Astyanax mexicanus: one gene and its partners. The protein of the gene in region 4 binds, or shares a complex with, the protein of the main gene of each other region. Links are inferred from orthologs where the notes say so. Each region holds a gene or a part of one and is shown on either strand. Other genes may lie near its edges.

Region 1 (7,893 bases), on a different chromosome or scaffold from region 4:
TCAGATGTCAAAAAATAATCAAGACAATTCTGATTTTTGTTGTTTTCTTTTTTTTTTTGACAGTTACAATATTGGAAAAGAATAACACATAAAATGTGTCTTAAATATAATTACCACATTATTTATGTATTTTTTTCTGTTTTTTTCTATTTATGTATGTTAAATAAAAATTAAATAAAAAATTATTTATTACAGTTTGATGAATTTTGTTCTCTGTGACTTATTTGTACTTTAAACTGTTCTTTAAAAGGAAACATTTAAAATTGTTCTAAATAATACCAAAAAGTGTTTAATTACTGTAAACAATAATATACTTTCCAACATTATACACAACCATTTTAAGTTTATAGATATTAGAGACATACACATTCAGTAGATACATTTAAAGCAATATCTCACACGTGCAACTAACCAGAATGCCTCCAGTCATGACACAGTGTTACATTATTGAGTATAGTGACATTATTCACATGTTCCATAACTTGCACTCAGCAGTGCACATTAGAGCGGTTCTGCATGGTGAGAACACCGCTCTTCTACAGGCAACAGCAATCCTGAAAGGTGAAAGCCCTGTACTCATTTTAATCTTAAATATGGCTCGCTTATGTCATTTGGGTAATTTCCACTTGGCATCAGTTAGTGTTTTTGAAATGTTTGTGAGTCAGGGTGTGATTTAAGATACTGTCACCAAGTTTTTGACTGTTCAATCTGAATACTAATTAAATGCGTGGGCATGGAAGCATTTACCATTTGATGCACAGTGGTCACTGTAAGACACATGTGTCAAACACAAGGCCCGCGGGCCAAATGTGGCCCGCCACGTCTTTTTATGTGGCCCGCGAGAGCTTGTAAGATCTTAGTGTCTATAATAAATAAGTCAGAAGCGTTCTTTGACCAAAAAATACATTTCCCACAATGCTTGTCGATTGTATTACCCGCAAAGTTACGGCTTACTGCCACTACACGGCAGTGTAGTCATTGATGTGGAAACCCTGCCGGACGGAAGGTGTAACTTCGCGGGTGGAATTGAGACATATAAATGTTTATCCCATAATGTCCAGAAAAAGAGAAGTTGATGCAGACGGACGGCTGTGCTTCAAGGCGACCGGTATGCCTTTTGTGTTACGAAGAGTGTTACTGACCAAAATAAACGCTTTTTAGGAGAGATATAAGTTCTGTGTAAATATTTATAAGACAATAGCTGACAAAATCTGTTTTAATGACGTTAATAAACATCACTGGGACAGCGCTAGTCGCAGTTTCACCGCAGCAAAGTACGAGGACGTGAATAACTTATCTAACCAGCCTTTACTAATTTCTGCCCTCAATAACCCTTTCAATAACCTCCAATAGCCTTTAATAGTCTTCAGTAGCCTTCAACAGTCTAACCTTGCAGCCGTGGTGTGTCCACTAAACTCCGTAGTTATAAACATCCTGAGGTTAGCAGCGCGATAACTGACCTGTTTATAATGTAATCACAGCAGTGACTCATGCTCTAAACGGCTGCTGTTAGCTGATTGGGCTGAAAGATGAACTGTAGAGAGCTGTATTATTCGGTTACAAAAATCTTTATTTCATACACAGAAGAACTTAAAATTTTTAAAAACGCTCCAGACTGGCTGAGCTGAGCCCTGTAGCCCGTGGCTGGGCTGTAGCTCTGACTCAGTAAAGACTGCGGACTTGTGGTGCTGCTGCTGCAGCTCCCACTAGTGGTTGGATGAGGAACTGCTAAATCTGAGGAAATGCTATGTTCTTAACAGCTCACAATTTTTGATTTTATATTTATTAAGCCTTATTTCAGTTAATAATTTCAAAGTTAATATAACTTGATGTCATTTCTATTCACTTGAATAGTTTGGTTCTTGATTGATGGAGTTTCATGACATGACAAATTAAAAGGATTTATGTTAATAGAGCAACAAGCAAACATTTTTTCCATGCAACTGTAATATTTGATTGAATAAATAATATATTGAGAGTTATTTAACATTAAGGAGTAATTACATTCATTTACATATATTACATTTGGTTACATTTTATTACATTTATAAGTTACATCTGGCCCTCGGAGGACAGCCAATATGCCAATGTGGCCCTCGGCCAAAATGAGTTTGACACCCCTGCTGTAAGACATCTTCTAGTTTTTTCTCACTCAGTTGTGTTTGCAAAAAGACAAAATCTCCAAATTTGCTTTTTAAAATTTCTGGGAACACAGGAAGTAAGAACTGTAGTTTTTTTCTGGGCCCAGTTCTAGTAACACTGATGTTTTGACCTGTAGCCCAGTGGAGATTGTATTTGCCTATTCGATCATATTTATGAGCACATAAACCAAAGTGTATGGCACCAAAGCAAGAAAAACTTACCAGTTTGCTACCTTTCTTAAATAAAAAAAACAATACAATAAAGTTTACATCACTTGTTTACTGAGGTTAAACAATTTCAGCAATTTTACCTTTGAGCTGGCACCAAAACGTGCTGCTTAACTTTTTAAACACTAAAATGACTAAATGCTATATCATTCAAGTGATATACATAAAATTGGCATCAAACAATGAATAAAAGCATTTGCAAATGCATGTCATGTATTAATGACATAACATGTCAATCCATGTGGGTGGAGCTTCAAAAACTCTTTTTCCATATAGCATGACAAATATGGTGCAAATAGATAACTGTGAGGTGATACATTTTAAATATATATATATATATATATATATATATATATATATATATATATATATATATATATATATATACAGCTCTGGAAAAGATACCACTTAAAATTATGTGTTTCTTTGATTTTACCAAATTGAAAATCTCATAATCAATCAAGAATAGAACATAATCAAGAGAAAGATGGATGATTACAAGCCATATAAATGACAATATATTTATTTGGATTTTGGTAGAAATGTTGTCCATAGTTTATAAAATAAAACAAAAATGTTCATTTTACATTTAACATGTACCTATAAATAGCAAAATCAGACAAACTGATTCAGAAACTGAAGTGGTCTCTTAACTTTTTCCAGTGCATTCATTTCACAGATTTGTTTACACAATGTTAGTGAATATCAGCATATCTGAATGTATGGCATAGTAACTTTCAAAATCCCACCCCCAACATTTCCACACACACACACAGACACACAAGTGCGCTCAAACATACACATACTCACATAAACTTAAACCTATACAGAAACATGAATCTCCAGGTAAACACACACACAGGCATCCACACATAAGCAAATATACACACATATGAGCACACACATACATATACACACATATAAGCAAACACATACACACAAGCAAACACTGGAGAGTAAAAAAAGCAAACTCACCAAGACATGTATGCAAGCACTTTTTCTCTTATGGGTGTACTTACTTTTGGTAACAGCGATTTAGACATAAATAAATAGCTGTGTGTTGAGTTATTTTGAGGGTGCAGCAAACGTACACCGTTATACAAGATGTACACTGACTATTTTAAATTGTATCAAATTGGCATATCTTCATTGTTGTCCTATGAAAAAGTAAATATTAATAAAATGAATTAATAACTCACTTCTGTTACATACTGTATTTTTTAAGCCCATCTAACCTTTAAAATGACATTATTTAAAAAGAACATTTGTTTGATCTTCTATACTTAGTCATAAAGGAGTCACACACTCACATTGTACGGCATGCAATGTTCTTTTGAAGAACAAGATAATGTCTTAACATTGAATCAAGAAAAGATTTAACATCACATGATTTCAAAGCAAACTGGATACAAGTTGCTTAAAGTAAATACTGATTGATTTATGATTGATAAATGAATACAGATTATTCATTAACAGTCTATCATATTGAATGCCCTGCAGAGGGTGGTGAAGGCTGCACAGGGGATTGTTGCCTCCCCAGCACCATGGACATCTACACCTCCATACAAAGGAAAAGGGCCACCTGCACCACCCACCACCCTCTCTTTATGTCCCGCTCCAGGCAGAAGCTGCATCAAGTACAAAACAACAAGACTGAAAAACAGCTTAATTCCAGAACTGCACTGACAAATCATATTGCTGCTACTCTCCAACTCTCCTTTATATTTTGTGTATTTATCTTTATATTTTCATTTTTTTATATATATATTTTTTTATCTTTATATTTTATTATTTATATTTACTTAACAATTGCTCCTTTTTGGTGGAATTGGACCGTGAGTTTATTAATTTTATTCCACCTGTACCACATGTGATGTGAATGACAATAAAGTCTCCTTGAATAAGATTATCACGTGAAGAAAAGAAAACAACAGACAAGCTCACTCACACACGCACAGACATACACATATAAATGTCTTGGTGCTCTACTGATTGTACTGGTCTAACACACATGCATGCAAACACACACACAATATAAAGTAAAACACCAAGGTTTATATGATAATTCCTGAAATTTAATATGGCGCAACATAAAATTTGCTTATGGACTTAAAAATGTCACTTCTTCATATGTAACATTTCTTCTTCATTTTCTTCTGTATTGGTTGCTTTCTTTGTTTTTTTTTTGTTTTTTTTTTTTCGTTTTTTGTTAAGATTGATTAATTTGCTATTTTCCTGTACATTACAATTATATTGAACTAATACAACATTTAATATATATATATATTGTAAAAGTTTACACGTTTGAGGACATTGTGTTGTGCTGTTTTTACAAATTTGGCAACCCAAATGTACGCGCATGCGCAAAGCCTGTACCTCTACAACGAACAGAGTTGCCAGTTTCGCGGTTTTTCAGCCAAATTGGGCTTGTTTCAAAATCCACTCGCGGATGAAAATTTAGGGGTGGCGGGGTGCATTGTTTGGGCTACTTTTTAAAAATTACCGCGCTCGCCAAAAAAGTCACAAAAAAGAAAAAAAAACACACAATCTAACCAGAAATCACCCCGCGATGAAAAAAAGGTTAAAGAGGATAGAAGGGAGTTCAGGATGGGAAAGAAACATAAATGAGTAAGTCAAGTTTTTTTTTTTTTGCTAATTATGTTACTATTAAATGTTCTTGTCTGGGATATAAAACTGTTATGAAAGAACTAATAAAACACAATAATACAAAAAAAATACAATACAAAAATACAATATTAATGACTTTAAGGTAAATAGCAATACTGATAATAAATATATTATAAATATAAAATACTAAGTCGTAGTTGTTTTGCCATTTGCGTCGAATGTAAGACAGAAATATTTAATATTTTGGGCTAGGTTAAGCTTCTGAAGGCCGGGATTTAGACTGACTTTGAGTATTTATGGTGGACCTGGCAACCCTGACAATGAAAGCGCTAGCAGGCTAAGCGACAACAGAGTGCACAGACAGCAGTGTTACACAGCCGGTCAGTCAGATAACTGACGGTTAAGACGTTATAGGCTGAATATTTCACGCTTTCCTCTTTACACAGAGCCGGTATGTGTTATATTCAGAGCTGGGTTTGTAGTATTTGTCTATCTTTCTGAATTATTTACTTGTTTCGTTTAGGCCTCGTCTTTCTCACACACACCTCCAGTGCAGTGGCGCCACTGTGCTGTAACATTTGAGTAACACACACACAGAGACAGGCACACCAGGACCTTTTAAAACACTAATTTACCAAAATAAAAAGTATTTAACTGCTAGTTTAAATGTTACATTTGTTCCTGGTTTATTTAAGGGTAGTATATTAATAACTTAACTAGAGTTAACGAGCTAACGCTAACTAGCTCATCGTGACCACAAACAGCCTTTGATTACTAACCTGTAACCTAGCTACTTTAGGGTCACTTAATATTTATCTATCACTCTTTTATCTAGTTAACCAGCTAACCTACGTTTATTTAATGCTGTACTTAATGATGTTTTTAATTTTTCACAGAAGTAGTAGTTAACTAGCTGTTTGAGTAATGGGAGCCCCGCCAGTCACCGTATATATACAGCTCTGGAAAAAAAATAAGAGACCACTTAAAAAGTTTTTTTTATTATTATTATTTTACCAAATTGAAAACCTCTGGAATATAATCAAGTGGAAGATGGATGATCACAAGTCATCAAACCAAGCTAAACTGCTTGAATTTTGCAGGAGGAGTGGCATAAAGTTATCCAAAAGCAGTGTGTAAGACTGGTGGAGATCATGCCAAGGTGCTTGAAAGCTGTGATTAAAAAACAGGGTTATTCCAACAAATTTTGATTTCTGAACTCTTAAAACTTTATGAATATGAACTTGTTTTCTTTGCATTATTTGAGTTCTGGAAATTCTGCATCTTTTTTTGTTGTTTCAGCCATTTCTCATTTTCTGCACATAAATGCTCTACATGACAGTATTGTTATTTTGAATTTGGGAGAAATGTTGTCCGTAGTTTATAGAATAAACTACCTATAAATAGAAAAATCAGAGACACTTATTCAGAAACTGAAGTGGTCTCTTATTTTTTTTATATATATATAGATAGATAGATAGATAGATAGATAGATTATTATTGATTATCCATTGGCTGACACTGACCACGCTACATATACTTACTATATTGTTTTAAGCTATATATTTGTGTGTAAAACCCCCAAAAAATGTGAAAACCAATTTTTCAGACACCTTTCATTTTATTGTTTGCTCAAGCTAACAAACAGCCTTTGATTACTAACCTGTAACCTAACTACTTTCGGGTCTAGCACTCTTTTATCTACTTAACTAGCTAATTTAACCTACGTTGATTTAATGCTGTGTTTAATTTTTTTTACAGAAGTTGAAGGTAACTGTAACTCCCCGGGTGAGTGATGGAAGCCCCGCCGGTCACCGTGATGCCCGTTACCGGGGGCACGATAAACATGATGGAGTATTTACTGCAGGGTAAGATACTGTCTGTTTTCAGCTGTCGATCCCGTTTCTCCGCTGTTTCAGCGAGGCATGGTCATTACAATGATTCCAAATGATTATCAACAACCGGGTTAAACCAGTTGTATCGTTATGAAGCTTCGATACCTGTACCCACGCCGCCATCTAGTGTTTAGTTCTAACTTTTTCTGAAGTTTAACTTTCTTTCTAAACTCAGATTTTCATTTACAAATACACTTTAACTACAAAACGGATAGATGTACACATGTGATCTTTAGCATAACTGGGAAGGGATGGAACAGGGCTGTGTTGAAATGAACAGCTGCAACCAGCTTAAAACTAGATTTGTACAATTATTGTAGAATATTTTGCATTTACCTTTTTCATTCCAGGCAGGTTATTTTGATGATTACATGTAATTCCATTTACATATTTGTAGAGGTGGGCAATGGGGCCCTAAAAGTATTTTTGTGAAAACAATATTTTTGGCGATGTGACAAAATATTTGGATAATAAAATAAATTATTAAAAAAACACTGTTGCAACAAAATTATTGTATTTGATTTGCCAGTATTATTGCATAGAGTATGATATGGCCAATCCCTAATTGAGGTTGAAACCAAAGGTAATGATCTAACGTGTTACAATACTATTAATGCGCTCTATATATTTAGGACTGGTTTGAATCTTTAAATTTTAGCGATATTGGAATTGTTTTTTTTTTGTGAATATCTTTTCCTTTTCCTTTTTTCCCCAAGAACAAGTACAACATACAAAAACAAACAAAAGTATAGAACAATTAAATATTTTTTAAAAAGAATTATCAGCATCATTTGACTTGGTCAACACTGTTTTGATGATCTGTAGTATTACTTTATTATTACTTTATCTGTAGTATTACTGTATTTCTGAAATTAATACTGTATTCTGCACTCCATAGGCAGTGTGCTGGACCAGTCCTTAGACAGTCTCCTCCATCGTCTAAGAGGTCTGTGTGACAACATGGAACCAGAGAGCTTTGCTGATCATGAACTAGTTTACCTTCT
Region 2 (7,297 bases), on a different chromosome or scaffold from region 4:
TTTAAATAAAAACCTGAAAACTGGGGCGTGCAATATTATTCAGCCCCCTTGTGTTAATACTTTGTAGCACCACCTTTTGCTGCCATTACAGCTGCAAGTCGCTTGGGGTCTTTCTCTTTATCAGTTTTGCACATCGAGAGACTGAAGTTTTTGCCCATTTTTTCTTGCAAAAAAAGGCTCGAGCTCAGTCAGGTTGGATGGTTTGTGAACAGCAGTTCCACTTCACGATTGTGTCCCACTTGTTGTTGATTCTTCACAAAAAATTACAATTTCATATCTTCATGTTTGAAGCCTGACATGTGGCAAAAGGATGAAAAGTTCAAGTTCAGAATACTTTTGCAAGGCATTGTAGGTAACACCACAAACACAACACAACTTTGAACTCACCTGCAGTTTCTGCCTCTCGATCATCACGAGGATTGTTGAGCTTCTCCAACAGACTCGAACACAGTTTATTCATAGTCTGGATCTGTTTCTGTTTAAACAAACAAACAAACCACTGATTAGTTTTCAGTACTGTTACAGGAAGACAAAAAATATATAAATAAATGTAAGCTGACCACTGAGAAGCAGGGCACTCATAAAAGATATTATCATCACTGATCAACAGTAAATTTTATTTTAAATTTCATTTCTAAATTAAGGAAGCAGAGTCTGGAGGAAGAGTGGAGAGACACACAGTCCAAACTGCTCGAGGTCGAGGTGTGAAGTTTCCACCAATCAGTGATGGTTTGGAGAGACATGTCATCTGCTGGTGTTGATCCACTGTGTTTTATTAAGTTCAGAGGGTTTCATGCTTCCCTCTGCTACTGACAACTTTTATGGAGATGCGGATTTCATTTTCCAGCAGGACTTGGCACACTGCCCTTACTGCCAAAAGTACCAACTGGTCTTATAATATAATGTGTATATAATATAAGCCATTATCATCAACAATAAAATAAATAAATGCTTAAAATAGATCACTCTGTGTTTAATACATCTAAATAATATAAGAGTTTCACATTTTTCAACTGAATTACTGAAACACAGTAACTTTTTAATAATATTCTACTTTTATAGATGCACTAATACATACACAGAGTTAGTTATTAAAGTAATATTGATATATGGAGCAATAGCAATATGAAACACAAAAACAACATAGAAGTAGGTTTTCAAATACATTTCATCTCATGTGACAGTACAGTGTATGGTTGTTAATGCAGTACCTGAGCTACTTCAGGTCCAATCCTGGCAGCTTCTACACTCAGCTGTTTCTCCTGCTCCTCCACTTCCGGGTCCGGTTTTGTCCGGAGGTGATCCGGAACAATCTCATGACTGAACACAGGCACCCTCTGCTCTGTGAGTTTCTGAATAGAAGGAACACAAATTAGGATGTAATTTAGCCCCTGTTTACAGACATATATCGATATCATAACGATATCAGAAAGAGATACAGATACTAACCGCTAAATCTTCGTCTCTATCTGGCGACAGCAGCAGAGGAATGATGACTTGGTTCCGGTAAGATGGAGTTTTCTCATTTCTTAACAGTTTATTCACTGTGTTTAACTGCCCTGACAAAAGGGCAAAGTTGTCCAGCACTGAAGGCCTGTGATAAACGAAACACATCTGCATGAGCAGTTATCAATAGCAATATAGTTATCTATGGCTATTTAATGTATATATTTACATGTAATGTAAGCCATGACCTGATACTCACCATGTTAATCTGTCATATTCATTTTCCAGCTTATAGATGAAGCTCTGCAGAGAATTCTTCAGATGTGCAACGCGAGAAATCAGAGACTCCACAGACGCCTCCAACTGCTTCTCTTCTCTTTGCTGAAAAAAAAAAGAAAACGATTTTCAGACCACATGTTAAAATCTCTTATTTTAAACTAGAATGCTGGTCTATTTTGAACCCCATTCGGTTTGCATATATGCATTATTGTGATCAAAAATCTGCATTTGTTTATATTTCTTATTTGTGCAGATAAAAACAGCAATTTTACCAAAAAACATTTAACTATACAAAAACATTTAACTATACAAAAACATTTAACTAAATAAGTGGGCAAACTAATTGATTAAGAAAACACTTTATCTGGGGAGCTCCTGCTGCTGTTCCTCACTGTATGAGTTTTTTTTTTTTAGAGTGAAATAGAAGCAATTATTCACTCAGGAACAGAGACTGAATTTATTGAATATATATTTTTTACTGGAGAAAGAAGGGGAATAGTGGCTGATTTTAATACTGTAATGCCTCTAACGGCTTCAATTGTGCAATAGAGCTTTTGAGGATTATCTCTTTTTGAATACTTAAACATTAAGTATTTTAGTTCTATTTATAGTGTTTATGGAACTATTTAAAATATTTATTTTATTAATATTTATGGTGTAATTTTGTAGGACAAAGTAAACCCAATAGTAATCAAGCCCTTAATTTAAAGCCCAAATGTTTATTTAATATGTACATCTAACAGTAAAATAAGGCAGACAGCTATATAAAAGCCCTGATATAAATTTGTTGGTCACACCGCCCATTACTAATATTAGTCACAATAAGTTTTTTGGGGGATATATGGACATGGTCTCTTTACAGTGAAGTTCAACTACGATGAGCCATAATTACATTTAGTTAACAATGTATTGCTAAAATCTGAGATCATACGTACTACAGAGAACCTGAATTAAAGTTTATATCAGTAAGAGTGGAATTAAGAGGAGATTTTAGGCTTGTTTTATTATTAAATCTAAGGAACACAGGCTAACCTGCATACAGCGCTTTTACACACAGTAAACTCGCCTAAACACACACTAACATCAATTCAGCCCCCGAATAACACCTTCAGAAGTTATGTAGGAATGACCCTGACGGTACTAATAAGCGGTAAAAAATAATAAAATTACAAAATATTTCAGTTTTACCTGCATCTTTATTCACAAGCAGCGCAGCTCCCAACCACCAAACACCAGAAATACCGGAAACACAGAGCCCAGACATCCCGCTTTGCAAAACACAAAAAGAAGTCCCCTCTAATACGTTCATGTATCACCATTATCAATATGTTATATGTCTCATTTAATCTTTTTTGTCATTCATTTTAAAATGATGAAGTCTTATTTTGGTCTCTAGTATGAATGAATGGAATTTCTCCCAAATTCCAAATAAAAATATATAATTTAGAACATTTTTTGCAGAAATTGAGCAATGGCTGAAATAAAAAAAATAAAAATATTTGGTAAAATCAAATAATTTTTAAGTGGTCTCTTATTTTTTTCAAGAGTTGTATGCTTTAATATGACTTCAATATGCTTTGACCGGATGAGGACTTTTATTTTGACATTATTTAAATCACTAGTGGTGTTCACTGTTTAGCGCTCCGGAGGAGTTGTTTAGCTTTATGCTAAGCTAACTGCAGACAGCTGGGCGAACTTGGCGGTGATAAATAGAAATAAAAATACCAGCAGCGCTAATTTAATTTATTCTGTTAACAGAAGCTGAAGGGGAAGCAGAGAATTCGCCAGTAATGCGAAACCAGGCATGGCAGACAGGCCGGACTCTGAGGTAAAGCCGCGCTAATGCTGTTTATGTGTTTACTCTGCTCTGCTGAACTTGTTTACTGACAGTCTTGTGATTTATAAATCATTACAGAGGCTGGGTCAGTTACTGCTTAGTTAAAGAAAGTGTATTTCAGAGCTCTGCGTGTCTAAAACTTAATATTTCTGCTGTGAAAAATATAAATTTTAACTTTTAGGGGATGTTTATTATAAAACTAATTTACTCTAAACCTGGTCAGACATGGGAAAGGCAGTTTATAGCTTTTTATAGCAGTTTTCATCTGAATAAAGCAAAAAGAAGTAACATAAATATAAAAAGATGAGAACCAGTGTTTAGAAAATTAAATATAATGTTGTAGTAGCTATATAAGTCCACTAAACACACACACACACACACACACACACACACACACACACAATATCCTGTCATATTAGCTTGCCAGTGTTGTTTACCAGCCCCTCCCTAAAGTGGTTCCCACATCTCACTGCAATGTTCAGATTTTTAAAAAAAGCAAGAAGTCTCATATAGTAAATCTCTGCACAAGCATGTATTTATTGATTTATTTATTTGAACCCTCAAGTAATTTAATCTACTTTCTATAAACCCATAACGTTAATTATGTGAAGAGAGATAACAGTTTTTAATCCACTGGTTCATGCAGTGACTTGCAGCTGCCTGATAAATTGCTATTTGTTTATTTTCTTTATCAGCTGACCTTTATAATAGTCTCGTTATAGATTTGTTAGCTACAGAGGTGTGCTCTTATTTTAGAGAGCCCTCATTTTGTACTCTTCACCTTCACCGCCTGTTTTTAACACTTTTACTTAGGCCTGTCACAATATATTGTTCCAGAAAAATGATCATGATAAACACTAATATAGTTGTATTATGACCATTAAATACTTGTGGTTGGTGTGTTGCAGTGGATAACTGGGGGTTATTTCTCAATCTGGGTGAGTTATATATTATATATAATATAAGTGGCATTTGAATGGTCTTAAAATGACTGTAATATTGTTTATCGCAATAGTTTCCGGGACACTATATCTTCCACAAAATATTGGTATCGTGGCAGGCCTAGTGATACGGTATTGCTAATTTGCTGGTGTTAATTCTCTTTATTTGGTGTTAATCTTTATTTAAGCTTGTGTTTACAATAAGGTGGAGGCCCACCTTATTTATTCTTTTTTACAAAAAGAATAAACACATAACCTAAACAATAGCACTGTTATAGTGATCATATAAATCATAATTGTCTGTGATGCTGCACTTGAACATATCTGTGGTGTTTTTTTTTTTTTTTGTAAAAACCTGGCTGTGTTTTCTCTGCAGGTGGAGGAGGCAGACCAGGTTTACCTGTTGATGAAAGAAGATTACCACATATCAAGAAATGTGCGTCTATCCTGGTTCCTCAGCAAGTTAAACCAGGTCATCCGGCCGTCCCCAAAGTCTGAGCTGGTACGTGATCGGGCAGAATGGTACTGAATAGAGTCACTGTGTCATATTTGATTATTTTAATGTTTTTGATAGATAATGTTAAAATGCATAGAATAGAAATGGTATGTATGCTTGGCCTACGTGAGATTAGCCTACAGGTAATTTGTTGTTAGGGCTGCATGATAGAAATAACATCATTTATTTAAATGATATATATTTAAATATTGCGAAAATAGAGTGAAATATAAAAAATAACTATGAACTATAAATATTAAAGATGCTATGATAAATATGTGCTATGGATTGTTTTTGATACACAATTCCTATGCAATTAGGATACATTACAATTTAGTTACATATTTTTTTATTTTAAATGAAAAATTAATGTACATCTTCTACAGAGGCACTTTTGCACATTCTAAAGCATACAGTAATTACTTGTACTCCTTATTTTGGCTTAAAGTCACATTCAGGGTGTTATGTTTGAATTGATAATACAGTATATTACATTTATTACTGATTTAAATAGACTTAGATAAAAAGAGTAAATAAATGTCAGTAATCAGGAAAAATATGTTGTGCTTGTAGCTCAAATCAGAGAATGAACTGGATATTCTCAGTATTCTGCCAAAAGGATGGCAGCCGGATTCTCCTCACACCTCCATGCCGTACCTGCTGGTGCCGTCCACACGGGTCACCTTCCTGGCCCGGCGGTACCGCTTTATCATTGAGCTGGACCTCAGCCCCTCCACCGGGATTGTGGTAAAGTTGCTTGTTTGGCTCAAACCATCCATTAATCTTCTAACTCCATTAATTATCTTTTTTTTTTCTTCATTAAACTGTGTGTGTGTGTGTGTTTAGTGCAAACCTTGATTAAAGATAAGGCTGGAGCAGCAGTCTCACATTTTCAATTTAAATTATTGTATTAATATGCAGCGCCTGGAGATCACAAAGTGAATGGGGTGCTATGGTAACAACTATCTATATGGGGTATCACACTAGCTTTTTTCCAACACCTGACCGACCATATGGGTTATTGTATGAACAGTTGCAGCTGAATGCCATGACAATCCTCTTCACAACATTATGGCACACATCTTGTGTTCACATAGCAACACCATAGCAACCAGCCAAGAACCTCTTACATGTAGCAGCTTTGTCATTGTTATTGGGTGGTTACTGCGGTGAATGATGGCACTTGTTAGGTGCCATAGCATAGCATAGCATTTGCCACATGGAATACCGTACCTTGTGCGACACCTCTCAGCCACACCATAGCAACCACCTGAGCAAACATTTAAGAAAGATATGGTAACCACCGAGGAATGCAACCCCTTAGCAACACCTTAGCAGCCATCTAGGATACCATAGCAACCACCTAACAACCACCTGAGATAGTCAATATCTAGCAACAAATGGAAACCATTTAGGAAAGACGTATCAACCATCTGGGTAGTAAAATCCACTTATATATATATATATATATATATATATATATATTTTAGTCAGTGATGTAAAGCTACAGCAGTATAATAGGCTGTTTTTTTCCTTACGTTTGATGTGATTGTGATTCTCTGTGTTGTGCAGGATGACAGCACAGGCGAGATGATCTTTGATGAAGTCTTCCATGCCCTCTCGAGATGTCTGGCTGGACTGGCTGCTCCGTTTAAAATTCCCGGCACAGACTTCCTGTTTCAGCCTGAAATCTTCATCACCATCCTGGCATACTCCTCCATCGTCGGCCTCAGCTCACACCAGGTCATTACATCACACTTCCCTCTAATCACTTGGATTAAGAGCGGATGACATCACACTTTCAGTATGACACACGTTTCTCTCTACTGCGATCAACCACCTAGTAATGGTTGACCATGGCAGCTACCAAGCCACATCACTGCAACAACTGGAAACCACTTTAGCTGTGCAACCAATCTACTTTTCCTGCAGAAAATGCTTTTTTCTATGATTTGTCTATTTTAAGGTGGGCACAGGTTGTAAGTGCAAGATAAGCTTTATTTAAGGTGCTCTGAGAGCTGTAGTCATTAATACACTTAATATCAAGATAGACAGTGATCAAACACATACTAAACTTAAATAAAGTATTAATTAAAGTATACAAAAACTAGATTAGGCTCTCTAGATTGATTAAATGTTTAAATCCTGTATAGCAGGAGACAAATTATATGGCTAAGGATAGATTACAGTATCTCAGAAGTACTTTATTGTGATTGTGATAAAACGTCTTTATTGTTTTATTTTTGTTGTTGTGTTGAGGCTTTGTGTTTAAATTTTAATCCTGTTCTTCAGGTGTTG
Region 3 (7,741 bases), on a different chromosome or scaffold from region 4:
GGTTTCACGGTATACCGTGGTATTAAAATGCACGGTTATCATACCGTGTGTGTTTGCTTATTACCGGTAAAACGCAAGCCAGCGGAGAAACTCACCCGCGCATGCGCAACTCTGCTCCGCTTCAGCTACTCAGCACACAGCGGTGAGAATGGCAGAAAGTGCATCAGACTAGAGCTTAGATTCTCTTAGATTCTCTGCCCGAACCAGACCTGGGCCGATATTTCCCACCACATTCCTCAGGCTGGGTCGGGTTGGGCTCCAGAAAATAGTCTGAGATGTAGGCATCTGTTTTTTAATCATATATTTTATTTTTAAATAAAGCTCTGGTGTGATAATCACAATGTTGCTAAGTAACCAATTAATATTGTTAATGAAAACGAACCAAATAATGAAAACTGAAAGTGAAACTTAACTAACTTATTTATAAGCGCTGTTTTCACTCCCGCAGTTCTACAGCGGGAGGTGTTGTGCCGATTCTGTCCGCGAAGCGGGAGTCGGATTCAGCAGGGAGTCGGATTCGGCATAACAGCGGCAGCGCGGCGGCACCTCGCGGTCCGCGGTGTTAGTTGTTAGCGCTCGCGCTAGCCGCAAAATACGACAGAAAACACTGAGAAACTGCAGAATTATGTATGGGACTAAAATATGAGCACGAGGAGATCAAAGAGAACCTTTACCTGTGAGTAGCTCATACAAGAACACGCAAATCTCTCTCTCTCTCTTGTGTCTCTCTCTCTCTCTCTCTCTCTCTCTGTGTCTCTCTCTCGCACGTGAACTTCTCCGCACTGTGTTTAGCTGTTCTTAAAAATCATTTTAATTAAATAATAGTTCTATGCTTCTATGTTAGTGTTAATTAACATAATTCTGATCATATTTCGCTCATTCAAACAGCCCGAAAACAGACTTGTAATCTTGTAATCAACAAGCTTGTAATCAATGTGGCCGTAAAGTCACAGCTAAAGGAGGAAATACACCTGTTCTCCCATCTCCGAGAACACCACCCCGCTGTGCAGCGCAAAGTATGTGTTTAGTTTATAATTTTAATCTGAACCTAAATAAAACCTCTTTGTAGTCGTGCACAACCCATGCGGTAAGCGCCCGCAAAAGCGCTGAGTTATCCGAAATTTGGGCACGCAGGTACAGGCGTGAAGTGCGTGCTACGATGGATTCACGTGTCCGTGTAAAGGTCCTGGCCGGACTGGATGTGAAAGACGCCATTCATTTACATGCGTTCATTTTCAAATTCTGACGTGACTGTTTTTCATATGTTGAAGGTTTTAAGGTGTGAAAGCCTTAAAATAGAAATATCTAATGTGAGGATCATGTCAGATATAAATCCCCTCTTTCTGCAGTATCTGGTTATATACCAACTTTTTTTATATATACACTGCCCTGGTTTCTTTCACCTGATGATGTAGTTTATACAATAAATAGTTAATTGAACAAAAAACCTTTGTTGTCATTTCTTTAAGGGTCAGTTTAATAATATATGTAACAAACTGTGATACCGTGATAACCGTTATCCCGCGGTATTTTCTGAGACGGTTATCATACCGTGAAAATCTCATACCGTTGCAACCCTAACTGCATCACAGAGATCTTTACCACTACACTGCCTTCTGAGACAGTGTGAGCAGTAAAGAAACAAGTAAGCTTTCCTGCCATCCCCTAATTTAAGACTCCAGGGAGTTCTATTCTACTGGCAATCATTTTCTACAGGAATTGTACTGTAGCTCCATAAGTGTGTGTATTTATTAGGATTTCAACATCCTAATGTGTGCAACTTATAGTACTTTAATGCATTAATTAAAAGGGTGTCCACAAACTATAGCTAAACCCATTACTAAAGCAAGTACCTTCAATAAAAATAGACATTAACAGAAATGTAACTTACAGTTAAGATAATTTGGGTTGGCCAGACATTGAACAAACTCCAGTTCTGACTGAAAGCGGTTTCTTGCTTGCTCCTCTGTATGGAAAGAAAGAGTTTAGAGAACGTTATCATGAATATTGATAACAGTGACCAGCTAGCTATCAGACTTTCAAAATATTCTTACAGAAAACATTAAAACCTGTGAGGTTCTATTCCCCAGTCTGTCAACTTAAAATGTTAGTGTTGATTATTTGTAAATGTGTAACTGCCATGGTGTACACAAAGTGCTGGGGGGGAAAAGCACTGTGGGTAAGGGCACTTAATTTACAGTCAGCTCGGTCTAATCGGCTAATCAAATGTATCAAATACCTAAAAAATTGCTAGTTGCAGCCTTATAAGATATACTTGCCATCAAAGTTAAACTGAATTGATCTGATTTTTTTGCACCAGGAGTGGCACAAGGTTACCCAAAAGCAGTGTGTAAGACTAGTGGAGTAGAATATGCCAAGATGCATGAAAACTTTAATTAAATACCAGCGTTATTCCACCAAATATAGATTTCTGAACTCTTAACACTTTATAGGTGTGAACTTGTTTTCTTCGCATTATTTGAGGTCTGAAAGCTCTGCATCTTTTTTGTTATTTCAGCCATTTCAAATTTTCTGCAAATAAATGCTCTAAATGGCAATATTTATATTTACAATTTGGGAGAAATGTTGTCCGTAGTGTATAGAATAAAACAACAATGTTAAATTTTACTTAAACATATAAGTTACCTATAAATAGCAAAATCAGAGAAACTGACTCAGAAACTGTAGTGGTCTCTTAAATATTTCCAGAGCTGTATATATAAACTTAAGCCACTGAGGGTTAAAGGCAAAATAAGCAAGCTAAGGCTAGGTAGCTAAAGCTAACCGAGCTAAATAAAGAAGTTGCTGCTGGAAAAGCTGTTATACAAACCTGTTTCCAGGACTCCAGCCATCTCACACAGACAAACTAAAACAACAACGACTTAACTAAACCGCTTAAATGCGAATAACAGCTACAAACAAACCGGATTTACTGAAATAATAATATAATTATGCGCTGAAAGCCGTTTTGTGTTGTCTAGCCCAGCGCCATATTCCTCCTACGTAAGTTCCGGGAAGGAACGTGATGACGGTATGGTCAGAGCCAGAGCCCGCCCACTCACACTATACCCCCTTTATATCTGTATATCACTGAGAACCGCTAGAGGGAGCCCTTAAGGGAGTCCTCAATGAATGGGGGTTAATGAAGCTAAACAGCTAAAACTCAAATTAAAAATAGTAATTAACTATTTATCTGTGATATTCATTTCATTTTATAAAGAATAATAAATTATTGTAATAAAACAGCAGATACAATTTACCTTTATATTTTAGTTTTTCTTCAAGAAATGTTTTTTACTGCTACTCTGAGCTGATTGGTTGGTGAGCTGATGCTGGAGATACAGTTCAAAATGAGAACGCGTACAAAATGTTTATAATTAAAGCTTAAAAGCTTTAATCTCGAGTCTGATAAGTTCAGAGTTGCACACATAGCCTTTTTTATAGCCTCTGTATTAGTAATCCTAAAAAATGCTCCCCGGTGCACACTGTTTCCTAAAAGGTATTTTATTGGTAGACAACATGTTGCCTGAAGACGCAAGTAACTCAAAACCGCTAGCATTGGGCTGTAGACGTCTTGGCAGCTACAGCACTAGCTTCATTAGTGCTCCAAGTGTCCTTTTGTGCATCTCCATGTACTCCAAATATGTTCTTCTGGATCTGCAAGTGTCATTTTATAGTGACTTCTATTGAAAGTTAAGAGCATTTTTTCTCATGTAAAGTTGGTGTTTTGAAGTGTTTCTACCATCACAGGGATGATGTATAAAACAGATTAGTTAACTGAAACATATAGTTTATAAATGGTTGGATTCTCCACTGTTACACTGATGTATTTAAGAGTGTAAGAGAGCTTGGGTAATGTAAAACTCTCCACATTAGCAGTGTTGCTTGTTGCTGGAAAAGCACCAAACAGTATCAACACGTTACAGCATAAATAGATGAAAAGAGTATTTATTACTGAATATGAAATGGCACGCCATGCGTAAAAGCGCATCCTGTGCATAAAAGCACGTACCGTGCGTAAAAACGCGTTCCGTGCATAAAAGCACGTACCGTGCGTAAAAACGCATTCCGTGCGTAAAAACGCGTCCTGTGCATAAAAGCACGTACCGTGCGTAAAAACGCGTCCTGTGCGTAAAAACGCGTCCTGTGCGTAAAAGCGCATTCCATGCGTAAAAGCACGCATTCCGTGCGTAAAAACGCGTCCTGTGCGTAAAAGTGCATTCTGTGCGTAAAAACGCGTCCTGTGCGTAAAAGCGCATTCCATGAGTAAAAGCACGCATTCCGTGCGTAAAAACGCGCCCTGTGCATAAAAGTGCATTCTGTGCGTAAAAGCACACATTCCGTGCGTAAAAACGCATTCCGCGCGTAAAAACGCGTCCTGTGCGTAAAAGCGCATCCCGTGCGTAAAGCGCATTTCATGCGTAAAAGCGTGTTACGTGCGTAAAAGCGCATTCCGTGCGTAAAAGTGCATTCCATGCGTAAAAGCACGCCCCGTGCGTAAAAGCGCGCACCTTGCCTAATTAAATTCTTAAAGTTATAGAGAAAAATAAACATAGTCTATAGTATAAACTTATATTATCTGTAATGTACATGTATTCACCTGGACCCTGACTTAAAACAAAAACATGTTCTAGTAGTGTTACAAAAATCATGTTTATTATATGTTTAAAGTAAGTCCTTGATTTATTCTACTCATACTTGAATGAAACGTATCTGTTTCAAACAAAAAAAAAATCTGTTGGCATATTCTAAAATATGACCAGTAGAGGGCAGCACCGCCGTGACTGGTACTGTAGCTCTACACAGTGATTATAATAAAGAATATATTATTAAATAAACTTGAATTGCTGTAACATACAATTGTTTTTATTTCTGTCATACAAAAATCTTCTCACTTTTTGACAATTTTAATTTAACAGGTGTTTTATATACAACCCCAAATCAGAAACACTTGGAACAGTACGGAAAATGCAAATAATAAAAAAACAAAACAAAATTGTCTTACATTTACTTTTGTTTAATTGCAGACAATGTGCACTCAATATTTTTCATGATTTAACTGGTTAACATCAATTAATTTATTAATATACATCCATTCCTGCAACACGTTCCTACCTTGTCATGTTGCCATTTCTTTTTCTAGTCACTGATGATAACAAGCTATAAAATTGTTTCAGGTGTTATTTTGTCCTATACTTCCTGCAGACACGTCTTACAATGTGCAACAACAGTATGGAGTCTTTGTCATTTTTCTTTTTTGTTTTAGATTCGTGTAATGTGTGCAGCATGTAGTTTTGGTCGTGCCTTGAAAAAATGTTGTTTTAAAGGTTGCACTAAGAACTTAGCGTACTTTTCTGCATTAATGCTGCATCACAAAAATGCACTGACACAACCCCATACTGTGATAGACCATGACTTTTGGATTTGATAATGATAATAGTCTGATTGATTCTTTTCATTTTTGAATCAGAGCTCACAGCAACCATTTCTTCCAATAAATATGTGGATTACTGACTTATTTGACCACAAAACATGATTCCACTGTGTGATGATCCACCTGTTGTGATTCTGCATTGAATAGTAAATTTCTGCGTGTCATTTGTGAATGTAAACATTACTGTAAAGTAATCTCTTGTCTACATGGTTCTATCAGCTATTGTTGAATGACGGTTTTTGATGCTGGGCTGTTTGAGGGTTTGATACAGAATTGTTCCAAAATGTACTTCATATAAAAACGTCTTACATTGAATTCCACTGTAGATCTTTTGTTTCTCTGTCTGCATAAGATTTAAAATAAGAACACAGGAAGACACAAAAAATATTAAACTTTTTTAATATTACAAACATTCCATCACATTTGATTTAATATAAGTCGAGACTACCATGTGAAACATATTCAAATTTATATGTAACGTCACATGGCCAAAGGCTGTAATATAAAGAGCCGTCCTGAGCTGTCCTATCTAATCAAAACAAACAGTATTCATATATATTTATGCATATACATGTTTAAAGATAAATAGAAAAATATTTTATTGTATACAAATATGATTCTCAGTCTCACCGGTTTCCATGAGTATCCTTCATAAGGTTTTATGTAATAAATGAAATGTAAAAAATTATTGCCATCACCATCATATTTATATAAGGTAGTTGCTGTACACAGATTATATATTACATCTGTACTGATAAAGTATGTGTATGACACACTGTCACAGTGTATAAGAGCAGGTAAGGATGTGCTGGCTCCTCCAGTGACACCCGTCAGAGGTGTGATGAAGGCGCCACCCTCAGCTTCTTAGCTTTAAGTGCAGTCGAGGGGGCTGCTGTTGGTGTGTGAGTAATCTGTTGTGCTGGCTGTGTGCTGTGTCCAGTCTCTCACACCCCTGTGGTGTTAGCCCAACTGGGAAAGGAGTCCAAGCCAAACAGAGGTCTGCCCCAACTGTTTATCGCCAGGGTGATGCACAGGATACCAATGATGTTCATCACAATACCTGTCCTGGCCTGAGGAGGGAAACGCAGTTTAATACCACATTTATAAAAGATCAAATGTATCAAAAGTAAAAAGATCAAGAGTAAAAATACACTGGCAGTCAAAAATAATAACCCCCAAAAATTGTAAAATAGCAAAAACAGAAACAAAGAGGCAACAATGGCAAAAAAAAGAGTTGTCTTCTTATGCTGATGGCTGTTTTTTAAATTAGTCGCAATAAACTGCTTTACACATTTGCTTTATTGCAGTCAACACACTTCCTATAGTGTCTGGATCAGATTATATTCCCAAATGAAGGATTACAGCAGATCTTTGCGAGACTCCTCTGTCACAGGATACTGAAGTTCCTTGCGAGAAGCATTGGCATGGTTGCAGACATGCATTAAAGCCACTGTTAAACCCAGCTCCAAAACATTTAACTCCACTATCCCTTTCGAGAGTACATTAACCCAGTACAGCGAGTATTAACATAGCAACTCAGCAGAGCTAACAAACACCACTAACCACATAAACTAACAAGAAATACTGACCACATTTAAAGGAATTTTTATTGTAAAGCCCTATCCAGACGGGATAAGTTTCTCAGGGGCATGTCTGTGAAAAATATTTTACACTTCTACTCAGTGATAAAACTCCTGCATCCGGACTGCAATTGAAAAAACAGGAGGACCAGTGAGTTTTTTTTGGCTTTCTCGGTCATGTGACATTGCGTTCAGTAGCTCCTCCGTTTGCACTCACTGTTGTGTTTAGGTGGATCACCATGGAAATGCGCACCCAAATGTAATCACGGTACATAGCAGTAGACAAATAGCTATGTTATTAAACATGAAGTGGCAAAACTCCGAGATGTGCATCTGGACGGGACTTAAAATACCGGAGGACCACAGAGTTCAGTGAAAAACAGTAGGTAATTCAGCCTGTAATTTTCTCTGGACGGGAATAAATTCACAGAAAAGAAAAATTACCCCAGGACCCCCTGAAAAACTAATTCTATCCAGTTAGGGCTTAAGGAATAATGACAGATTACATATGTTCAGAAGTTTGCCTGGAAAGGTTAATGTGGCACCAGGTCCTGCCCTGGATTGGTATGGAATAAAGGAAGATCTGTATTGGCTCCAAAAACTGACAGGTCCCTCTCTACACTCAATATTTCCAAAACAGCTAATTATCAGTGTATGAGAGCAACACTTTTTGACTGCTAGTGTACTTACATTTAACAATTATTTACACTCTCACCACAGATTTCTA
Region 4 (7,905 bases):
AGTATATGCTAGCAGTTTCTTTGTCATTGTGCAAACATCTATGTATGCACATCTGTATATTTACACTGCCTGGCCAAAAAAAAAAGAAGTCACAGAGTCTAATATTTCGTTGGACCACCTTTAGCTTTGATTGCAGTATACATTTACTGTGGTATTGTTTCTATAAGCTTCTCCACTGTTACAAGATTTATTTCAATCCAGTGTTGCGTTAATTTTTCACCAAGAACTTGCAGCGGCAATGATGATGGTAGAGTCTGACCACTGCACAAAGTCTTCTCCAGCACATTTCCAGGATTCTCAATGAGGTTAAGGTCTGGACTCTGTGGTGAACAATCCATGTGTGACAATGATGATCCCATGCTTCCTGAATCACCTTTTTACACTTTCAGCCTCATGAATCCTGGCATTGTTATCTTGGAATATGCCCGTGCCATCAGGGAAGAAAAAATCCATTGATTTAATAACCTGGTCTATATTCAGTATATTCAGGTAGTCAGCTGACCTCAGCACATACTGTTGCTGAACCTAGACCTGACCGACTGTAGCATTTGCTTTGTTAACCTTCCTGCTATCGTCAAATATATGAACATCCTTTATTCTCTTGGTTAATATGATCTTAGCAATTTAAACCTCCAAAAAATTATTATAATTACAGATCATTAAACATGTTGGCAAAGTTTACTTACCAGTGTGTATCAAGTGTTTTATTAGTATTGCATAAATATTATAAGTAATGTTTTGTTAAATCAGGGCCTAAAGTAAAGGGACATTTAGAGAAATTTTATAAAACTGAACGTCATGGTGATCTTAACATTATTACTACACAAATATGTCAAATATTGTTATTTTTGTTATGTTTTATGCCAACAAAACAGCCTTTATAAAACAGACATTAAATTTGAACCATTTGAACATTTTTATTTTTTATTAATTGTCTTCATTAAATTAAGAAAAGACAATAAATATGAATTACAAAACTAATGTCAACCATTTTTTCAGAGACTTGAAACAATGAATGGGGTCAGATTGAGCCCAAAGATAATAGGAGGGTTAAATCCAGGTGGAGACTTTTTTTTTGGCCAGCCAGTGTATAATTTTCAATTTCTTAATTTCAGTACAGCATATGCACTGACATGCCAGGTGTCATGGGACATAGAACTGTAATATCATGTCCTATTACTTTTGCTATGTCGTATAGAGGCTGATGTGTGTGGGGCCTCCTGCATTAAATGTAATTGTGATTTCTGCCAGAGTTGCTTGTCTGTTTACACTGACATTTCTAGCCAGAGGTCGCTGGTCACATCATAACCACACACTGCTCTGTCCACTGTGGGAGGTAATGCCTTCTATGATGTATTCCTGGGAGTCTGGAATTATATGCTGTGGATTAAAGAAGATTAAATTTCAACAGAACTTCAGGTACAGAATGTCTCATTTATCTGGAACCGAATATCAGACCTCACTGGAACAGTTTATACAGGTCTGAGTGTCCTTTTCCTAGCTGTTCCCTGAGGTAGGCTCTCATAAGCCTGTAGAGAAGTATTGCCAATAGAATAGGACTCTCTGAAGCAGATATACCTGAAACAGTTGGCACTATGTTGAATGCCAGACATGGACTAGAGAGGTAAAAAGCTTTCCAGCATAAGTTGTGAAGCAGTGCTCCATCCAATACTTTTGGGATTAGTTGCAGAGGTGGGAATCATCCTCACAGCAGTCTAGTACAAATCCCTCCCTGGACAGTCGAGACAGTTGCCATAATGTCTCAAATAACAGAGAACAGTGAATAAGCAGGTATCTCAGTATTTTTGTCTGTAAAATGTTCATTGTAGTGTAAAGTGTACATTGTAGTTTATTTCATAACAGTGTATAACAACTTTATTACAATATGTTAATAGGTTATGACAGTACACCTTATATAACTGCACTGTTTATTATACTATCTAACAGCTGGTGTCAAACGAAATGGGTTCCGAGTGGTCCAGCGGTCTAAGGCACAGCCACTATGACCGGGAGATCTCCAGTTCTTATCCGAATCCTGTTTATGTAGCTTGCCATCAGCTACCGGAGCCCCGAGAGAGCACAATTGGCCTTGCTCTTTCTGGGTGGAATCTGATCAGCACAAGGCATCTGTAAGCTGATGAATCAGAACCAAGTCGCTCCGCTTTCCTCTGAGTGTGATGCTACTCGGCAATGCCGCATCAGCAGCAGTTCGAAAAGAGGCGATGACTGACTTCACCCGGAGTCTTCACCCTCCTGGTGTTGGGGCATCACTAGTGATAGGGGGAGTCCTAATGAGTGGCTTGGGTAATTGGCTGTGTAAATTGGGGTAAAGAGGATAAAAAAAACTTTAAGTAAAGTGGAATTATGACAATTTGTGTTGCATTTACAATCAAATGACAAAAAATAGTAATTAATTGATACTGTTTTTCTGTTTTTTATCTTACTTTTGTCTATTACATTTCATGTTTATTTTAGCTGGGTTAATTGTGAAAAAATGTTAGATACATATTACTATGAGTGTGTAAATATAAATACATGTTTAGAATTGGCAAGTTTAAAGACATCTTACTGGCCTTCTTGCAAAAAGTAAGCAGTGAAGTAATGAGATAGGAATTCATACTGTAAAGTGTTATGGGTGTAATTTTCTTATACATGATGCAATTGCTCAGCAGAGATATGGAGAGTTATCTTTTTAATATGTGCACTCCTTCATCAGCTGATGATAAATGTGGAAGCTGTGTCATTCCTGTCAATCATAAGACATGGTTAGGTTCATATCCTCTTTAACCCTTTCACATCCAAATTCAGAGGAAAAGAATATGCACATGATCATTCTAAACACAGTCATACATCCTATTCTTTCACAAACAATATATGGCTGTAATTACTGTTTATTTGTTTGTTTGGATTCTTTCTTAATCTAACTTATTTAGAAACATTTTTCAGTTATTTTAAATTGCTCAGGAACTCAATGGAAACATGGAAAAGTTTCAGAATGGAAGCTAATCTCATCTCTGGCAGAAAGAAGGTAGCTGACCAATGTTGGCTTACTAATGGCAAAGCTGGTTATTGGCATTTTTCTCAGCATTTTCTGGGAGACTTGCCAGATACTTTTGTTTTCTTTTATAAAGTAGATTAGAAAAGAGTATTCATTCATTTTCAATTAAATCATTTTATTTCAGACCTAGTCATTATTATATTTGTAATAACTGCCGTCATTATTTTTTCAAATAAAAGTCTCTGTGCATTTATAATATAGTTGGTGAATGAGCTAGTTAAATTAGATTATTGTGCATTAAAATGATCTGGATGTATCAACATTGTCAGTCAGTGGGGTGCTGAACTTAAAATATATCAAAATATATGCTTGCCATACAGGATGGTAATAACTACACAATCACAGTCTGACAAATTGACTGTGTAGATTTTTAATACGCTCAACACTAATAGTGCCTATCTAAATGAGATATTTAGTTGTGGGGACAACCTATTAAGACGTGGGAACAAAATAATTAAGTCATGGTCCCAACTTATTAAGGCATGGGAACAAAATAATTAAGTCATGGGGACGACTTCTTAAGGCATGGGAATGACATCATTAACGCTTTAATAAGTCATCGCCACATGTTACTATTTTTTTTTTTTACATGATATCACCATAGAACTGTACTGCTTGGAAAGTTTACACACTACATTAAAAACTCATGTAAAAACTCATTTTTTATTAGTCTGCAAAATGACTTTTGTGCTTGGACTTGACACACAGAAGGTCTGACACACTTCATCTTCATCTAAAACACAGTGGCATATTAGAGGGAGCATGCCTTTATCTTCTTCTGCTTTTTCATCTTTTTTCTTTCTTTTTTCCTCTCTGTTTTGTATTTTCTTTTCTTTTTTTTTCTTCTGCTTATGGTGTGTTTAATTGGGTATCAGCGCCTCTAGCGTCGAGATGAGGTTCTGTCCCTCTCTCTCTCTCTCTCTCTTTTTTCTATCAAAAGAGGCTGAAAACGCTGCTGTAATCCCTTTGCTTTGATCACGTGCTTTTTTTGTGCTCTACTTTGCCAAATAGGAAAGCGAGTCTCTGTCGAAGCCTGGCGGCCGCCATTACATAGCTATGCGTGGTGGGCTGTCGAATAGCGCGAAAAGCTGCCAGCGACTGTTAGCGTAAGCACACACACACTACACTGTTTCTCACACACACACCGTCTCTATCTCTCTGTCTCTGCCTCTCTCTCACTCTCACACAGACACACACACATAAAAAAGTCACAGACACACACATATAGGCTACACTGTTTGTCACATCTACAGTATCTCTGTCTCTCTCACACACATACATATACACAGTCACACACAGTGGCTACACTTTTCCTCACAAATACAATATCTCTCTCTTACACACACACAAACACAAAGTCACACACACATATGCTACACTGTTTCTCTCTCTCTTACACACATACACACATATTTACACAAAGTTACACACATACACACAAATAGGCTACACTGTTTCTCTCTCTCACACACAGCCTCTCTCTCTCTCAATTTAATTCAATTCAATGTGCTTTATTGGCATGATAAATAGTGATACATTTCTGTTGCCAATGCCTGAGTTATACAGTTTTAACAGTAAATAATAGTGGACTGTCTCAGAGATTAACAATTTCTAAAGTGTAGAAATTAACAATTTCTAGAAAACAATTATCTATTTCTCTCACACACACAAACACATACATACACACACATAAGCTACACCGTTTCTCACAAACACACTGTCTCTCTAAAACACACATACACACACATAAAGTAAGACCCCTCTATTTGCATAGCCTCCATCCAAACACAGAGCGTGCGTCGCGTGTGTTGTGTGTGTTTTTTTTTAAGGATCCAGGAGCCTCGCTCTGTTCGATTTGTCCTCGGAGTGTCTCGGAAGCGCTCGGAACCTCTCGCTCGCGCTCGGCAGCTCTCGGCGACTCGGGGAAACAGCGGCTAAACAGTGCAACAGTGACGGATGGCACGCCGTGGACGCTTTCGGAGAGAGCTCGCTGTGTGATTTCTGGCCGACTCGAGCAGGGCAGATAGCTGAGGAGGCTCGTCAGACGGCCGTGTTTACTCGGTGACTGGAGCTATCGGCGGTGGATCTGTTCCTTATCTAGCTTATCCTGTATCTTAGTTATCTATCTGTCTGTCAGCGACTCGGACTCGTTTCTGGCTTTTGTTTGATTTTATTTAGCTTTACTTCTACAAGAAGAAGAAGGAGAACAAGAAGAAGAGAAACTGGCGAGAGAGAGAGAAAGAGAGAAATATCTCCGGGAGAGGACGTTACGTTATTTCGTAATTTCGTTCTACTTAGCTAACTAGCTAGTTATGTTTATAACCAGAGAAAGGAAGGAAGTTTTTTCCCCTTTCTCTTCAGTTTTTTTCCTTTCTCTTCTGTTTGTTGGTTTTTAGCTTATCTAAGAAAGCTAAGCTAGGTTTGGTAGCTAAGGAAGATTGCAGTTGCTGCTGCTGTTTGTTGCTACGGCTGCTGCTGCTGTTGTTGTTAGCTAGCGTTAATGTTAGCTTAATGTTGTTTTCTTATTGTTTTAACTAGCTAAACAGGTTAACTAGCTTTGCGTTAGCTAGCTAGGTTAGCTGACTAACTAGTTATCTTAACTAACTGCATAGCTAATAAGGTTTCTTTAGCTGGTTAAACATGTTCGTTTGTTGTCTTCGCTAGGTGGCTAACTAACGTTACCTCCTTCCCTAGTCTCTCTCTTTCTGTGACTGGGTGACTGAGAGACTGATAAAGAGAGAGAAAGAAAGAGAGTGAGGGAGGGAGTGAGAGAGTGAGGACAAGAAGAGGAGGGTCAGGTTTTTATTTTTAGCTCCTCCAGAACGCTAGTTAACTAGCTGGGGTTAGCTAGCTTGCGTTAGTTGCAAAGTGAAACGAGGATTTTTCACCATTCTTCCTTCCTCCCTTGCTCAGAAGCCAGACTGTGTTGTTGCTCGCGTATCAGGGGAAGAGTGAGGACGGCTCTATAAATAGCTCCAAAGAGAGGGAGAGAAACTACATCGACGTTAGCCAGCTAGTATCATTTTCTCTCGTGTGCCCCCTCTCTCTATCTATCGCTCTCTCTCCTCAGTCTGTGTGTGTGAGTGTGTGTGTTTTTTGCCGCCTTCTCTCATATATGGAGGGCTGTGGGGGAGTCAATGGAGTCCGCTCACTCGCTCCGCGCTTCTGTATTGTTCCTAAACAGAGACGCTTCAGTGGATTATACTAGCCATAGCGAGCTACAAAACTGAAACTTGAACTGGGAGCACGCCGATATTGAGACGTGTCCTCTTTTTTGTGTGGATTTTTTTTGTTGTGTGCAAGAAAAAAGGAGAAAGAACCGAGAGGATTGGAGAGAAGGAAGGAAAGAAAGAAAGGGCATAACTGGTCCTGGCTCTTGCTTTTTTGAATTACATTTATTTTTTTTCTTCTCCCGTGGATTACTAGGATATACTGTGATTATAGATATGCTATTACAGTTATTGTATTAGTAGTAGAAGAAAAAAACAAAAAACAAGTCAACTGGCATGGACAAGGATGGTCAAATCATCTCACGGCGGCTAGGAGGATTAAACACACGGAGGATCATCATCATCATACCCACCGCCACCGCATCGCCACAGACAATGATTCGGTTTCAGCCGCCTGACGAGAAGCATCCGAGCCACCCCGAGCTCGTGTGGATGGAAACAAAGTGTTAGTGCTAGCGCTAGTTTTCAGTTTTCGCCCCGAAGAAAAGAAAAAAAAGCGGAGACGGAGAAAGGAAGGAAGGAATTAAACCCTAAGGCATTCCTACGGATTCGCTACAGTGTTTTAAAAAAAGAGAGAGAGAGAGAGAAAGAGAGAAATCACGCCTCCGCTGGTTTACACTGCGTTGTTCCTCTCAGTCTGCTGGCTTTCTCCGTGATTTTTCTATATTTGTTGCTTGCTTTACTACTGAAGGAATCGTTCATCCACCTTCTTCAACCGACAACCAACCTACCCACCTACCTTCCTTCCTAAGTACCTGCCTAACTACCCCCTCTCAGAACCCTCTGCTCGGTTCTGATACCGATCGAGGATCTCGACATGCCCTACGCTGACGAGCCCATCGGCGGACGATTATGACTACAGCAGCGAACTGGGTGGCTAACGGGGCGAGCCTTGAAGACTGCCATTCCAACCTTTTCTCTCTGGTACGGTCAACCAACCTACTTCTATACACTCACTTATGTCCCATAGAGTCTAGCTAGCTAGTGGCAGCGATTGGGCTGGAGGGGGGAATGAAGCAGCTGAGGGGGTGTGGTGGTGGTGGTGTTGGGTGGGTGGGTTTGTGGGGTTTGTGCCTGACTGCCTGGAAGTGTGTGTGTGTGTGTGTGTATGTATGTATATGTGTGTCTGTGTGTTGGTTGTGGGGTTCTCCTTGAGGGCAGGGACCAATCAACCATCCACCCACCACCAGCCTACTGTTCTCAAGGTACAAAGGTGAAGCAATCTCTGGTAGCCTACTGTTATTAGCCAATCATTAACATGCCAAAAGAGCCTGAGAGCTGGGCTGGCTTGGAAAGGTAGGTTAACATTTCTTTTTTTGGCAGTCTGCCTCCTCATGAAATGAGCTTGAGGGCTACTGTACTGTTCCCCACGGTGTGGTGGTCAGGAGTGGTCAGGATTCATACTCACCATTCATCATGCCATTGAAAAAAGAAAGGAAAGAGATGCCTTGCTTTGGCAGACAGTTCATAATGGCCAGCTGCTACTGTATGGTATGGTTGGTAGTTGATTGGGAATGTTGTGCTGCTATTGCTCGGGTTGCTTGTTACACACACACACACAGGCAAATCTGTTTACTCAAGTTTCAGACAAAAACCCTTTGGGGAAAGGAGAGACAG

What was found.
Region 1: mediator of RNA polymerase II transcription subunit 13-like (region 4) and med18 share a complex: the UniProt entries of both Homo sapiens proteins name them as parts of the mediator complex. The link is inferred for Astyanax mexicanus from reciprocal best matches to the Homo sapiens genes MED13L and MED18.
Region 2: mediator of RNA polymerase II transcription subunit 13-like (region 4) and med8 share a complex: the UniProt entries of both Homo sapiens proteins name them as parts of the mediator complex. The link is inferred for Astyanax mexicanus from reciprocal best matches to the Homo sapiens genes MED13L and MED8.
Region 3: mediator of RNA polymerase II transcription subunit 13-like (region 4) and med31 share a complex: the UniProt entries of both Homo sapiens proteins name them as parts of the mediator complex. The link is inferred for Astyanax mexicanus from reciprocal best matches to the Homo sapiens genes MED13L and MED31.

Annotation. Positions count from the first base shown.
Region 1 is NC_064413.1:34,555,987-34,563,879, forward strand, and holds the start of med18 (mediator of RNA polymerase II transcription subunit 18), read left to right. Parts: upstream 1-4,888; 5' UTR 4,889-4,997; intron 4,998-5,314; exon of another isoform or gene 5,315-5,448; intron 5,449-6,755; 5' UTR 6,756-6,789; coding exon 6,790-6,862; intron 6,863-7,787; coding exon 7,788-7,893. UniProt on the Homo sapiens protein: Component of the Mediator complex, a coactivator involved in the regulated transcription of nearly all RNA polymerase II-dependent genes.
Region 2 is NC_064412.1:54,815,177-54,822,473, reverse strand, and holds the start of med8 (mediator of RNA polymerase II transcription subunit 8), read right to left. Parts: upstream 3,015-7,297; 5' UTR 2,920-3,014; coding exon 2,914-2,919; intron 1,828-2,913; coding exon 1,706-1,827; intron 1,595-1,705; coding exon 1,450-1,594; intron 1,353-1,449; coding exon 1,212-1,352; intron 476-1,211; coding exon 388-475; intron 1-387. Other genes in the region: KICSTOR complex protein SZT2, read left to right, coding at 3,530-3,553, 4,880-5,005, 5,573-5,746, 6,572-6,742, 7,292-7,297. UniProt on the Homo sapiens protein: Component of the Mediator complex, a coactivator involved in the regulated transcription of nearly all RNA polymerase II-dependent genes.
Region 3 is NC_064424.1:13,288,080-13,295,820, forward strand, and holds the start of med31 (mediator of RNA polymerase II transcription subunit 31), read right to left. Parts: upstream 3,017-7,741; 5' UTR 2,853-3,016; coding exon 2,831-2,852; intron 1,967-2,830; coding exon 1,892-1,966; intron 1-1,891. Other genes in the region: slc13a5a (solute carrier family 13 member 5a), read right to left, coding at 6,379-6,504. UniProt on the Homo sapiens protein: Component of the Mediator complex, a coactivator involved in the regulated transcription of nearly all RNA polymerase II-dependent genes.
Region 4 is NC_064408.1:20,292,357-20,300,261, forward strand, and holds the start of mediator of RNA polymerase II transcription subunit 13-like, read left to right. Parts: upstream 1-4,903; 5' UTR 4,904-7,140; coding exon 7,141-7,212; intron 7,213-7,905. UniProt on the Homo sapiens protein: Component of the Mediator complex, a coactivator involved in the regulated transcription of nearly all RNA polymerase II-dependent genes.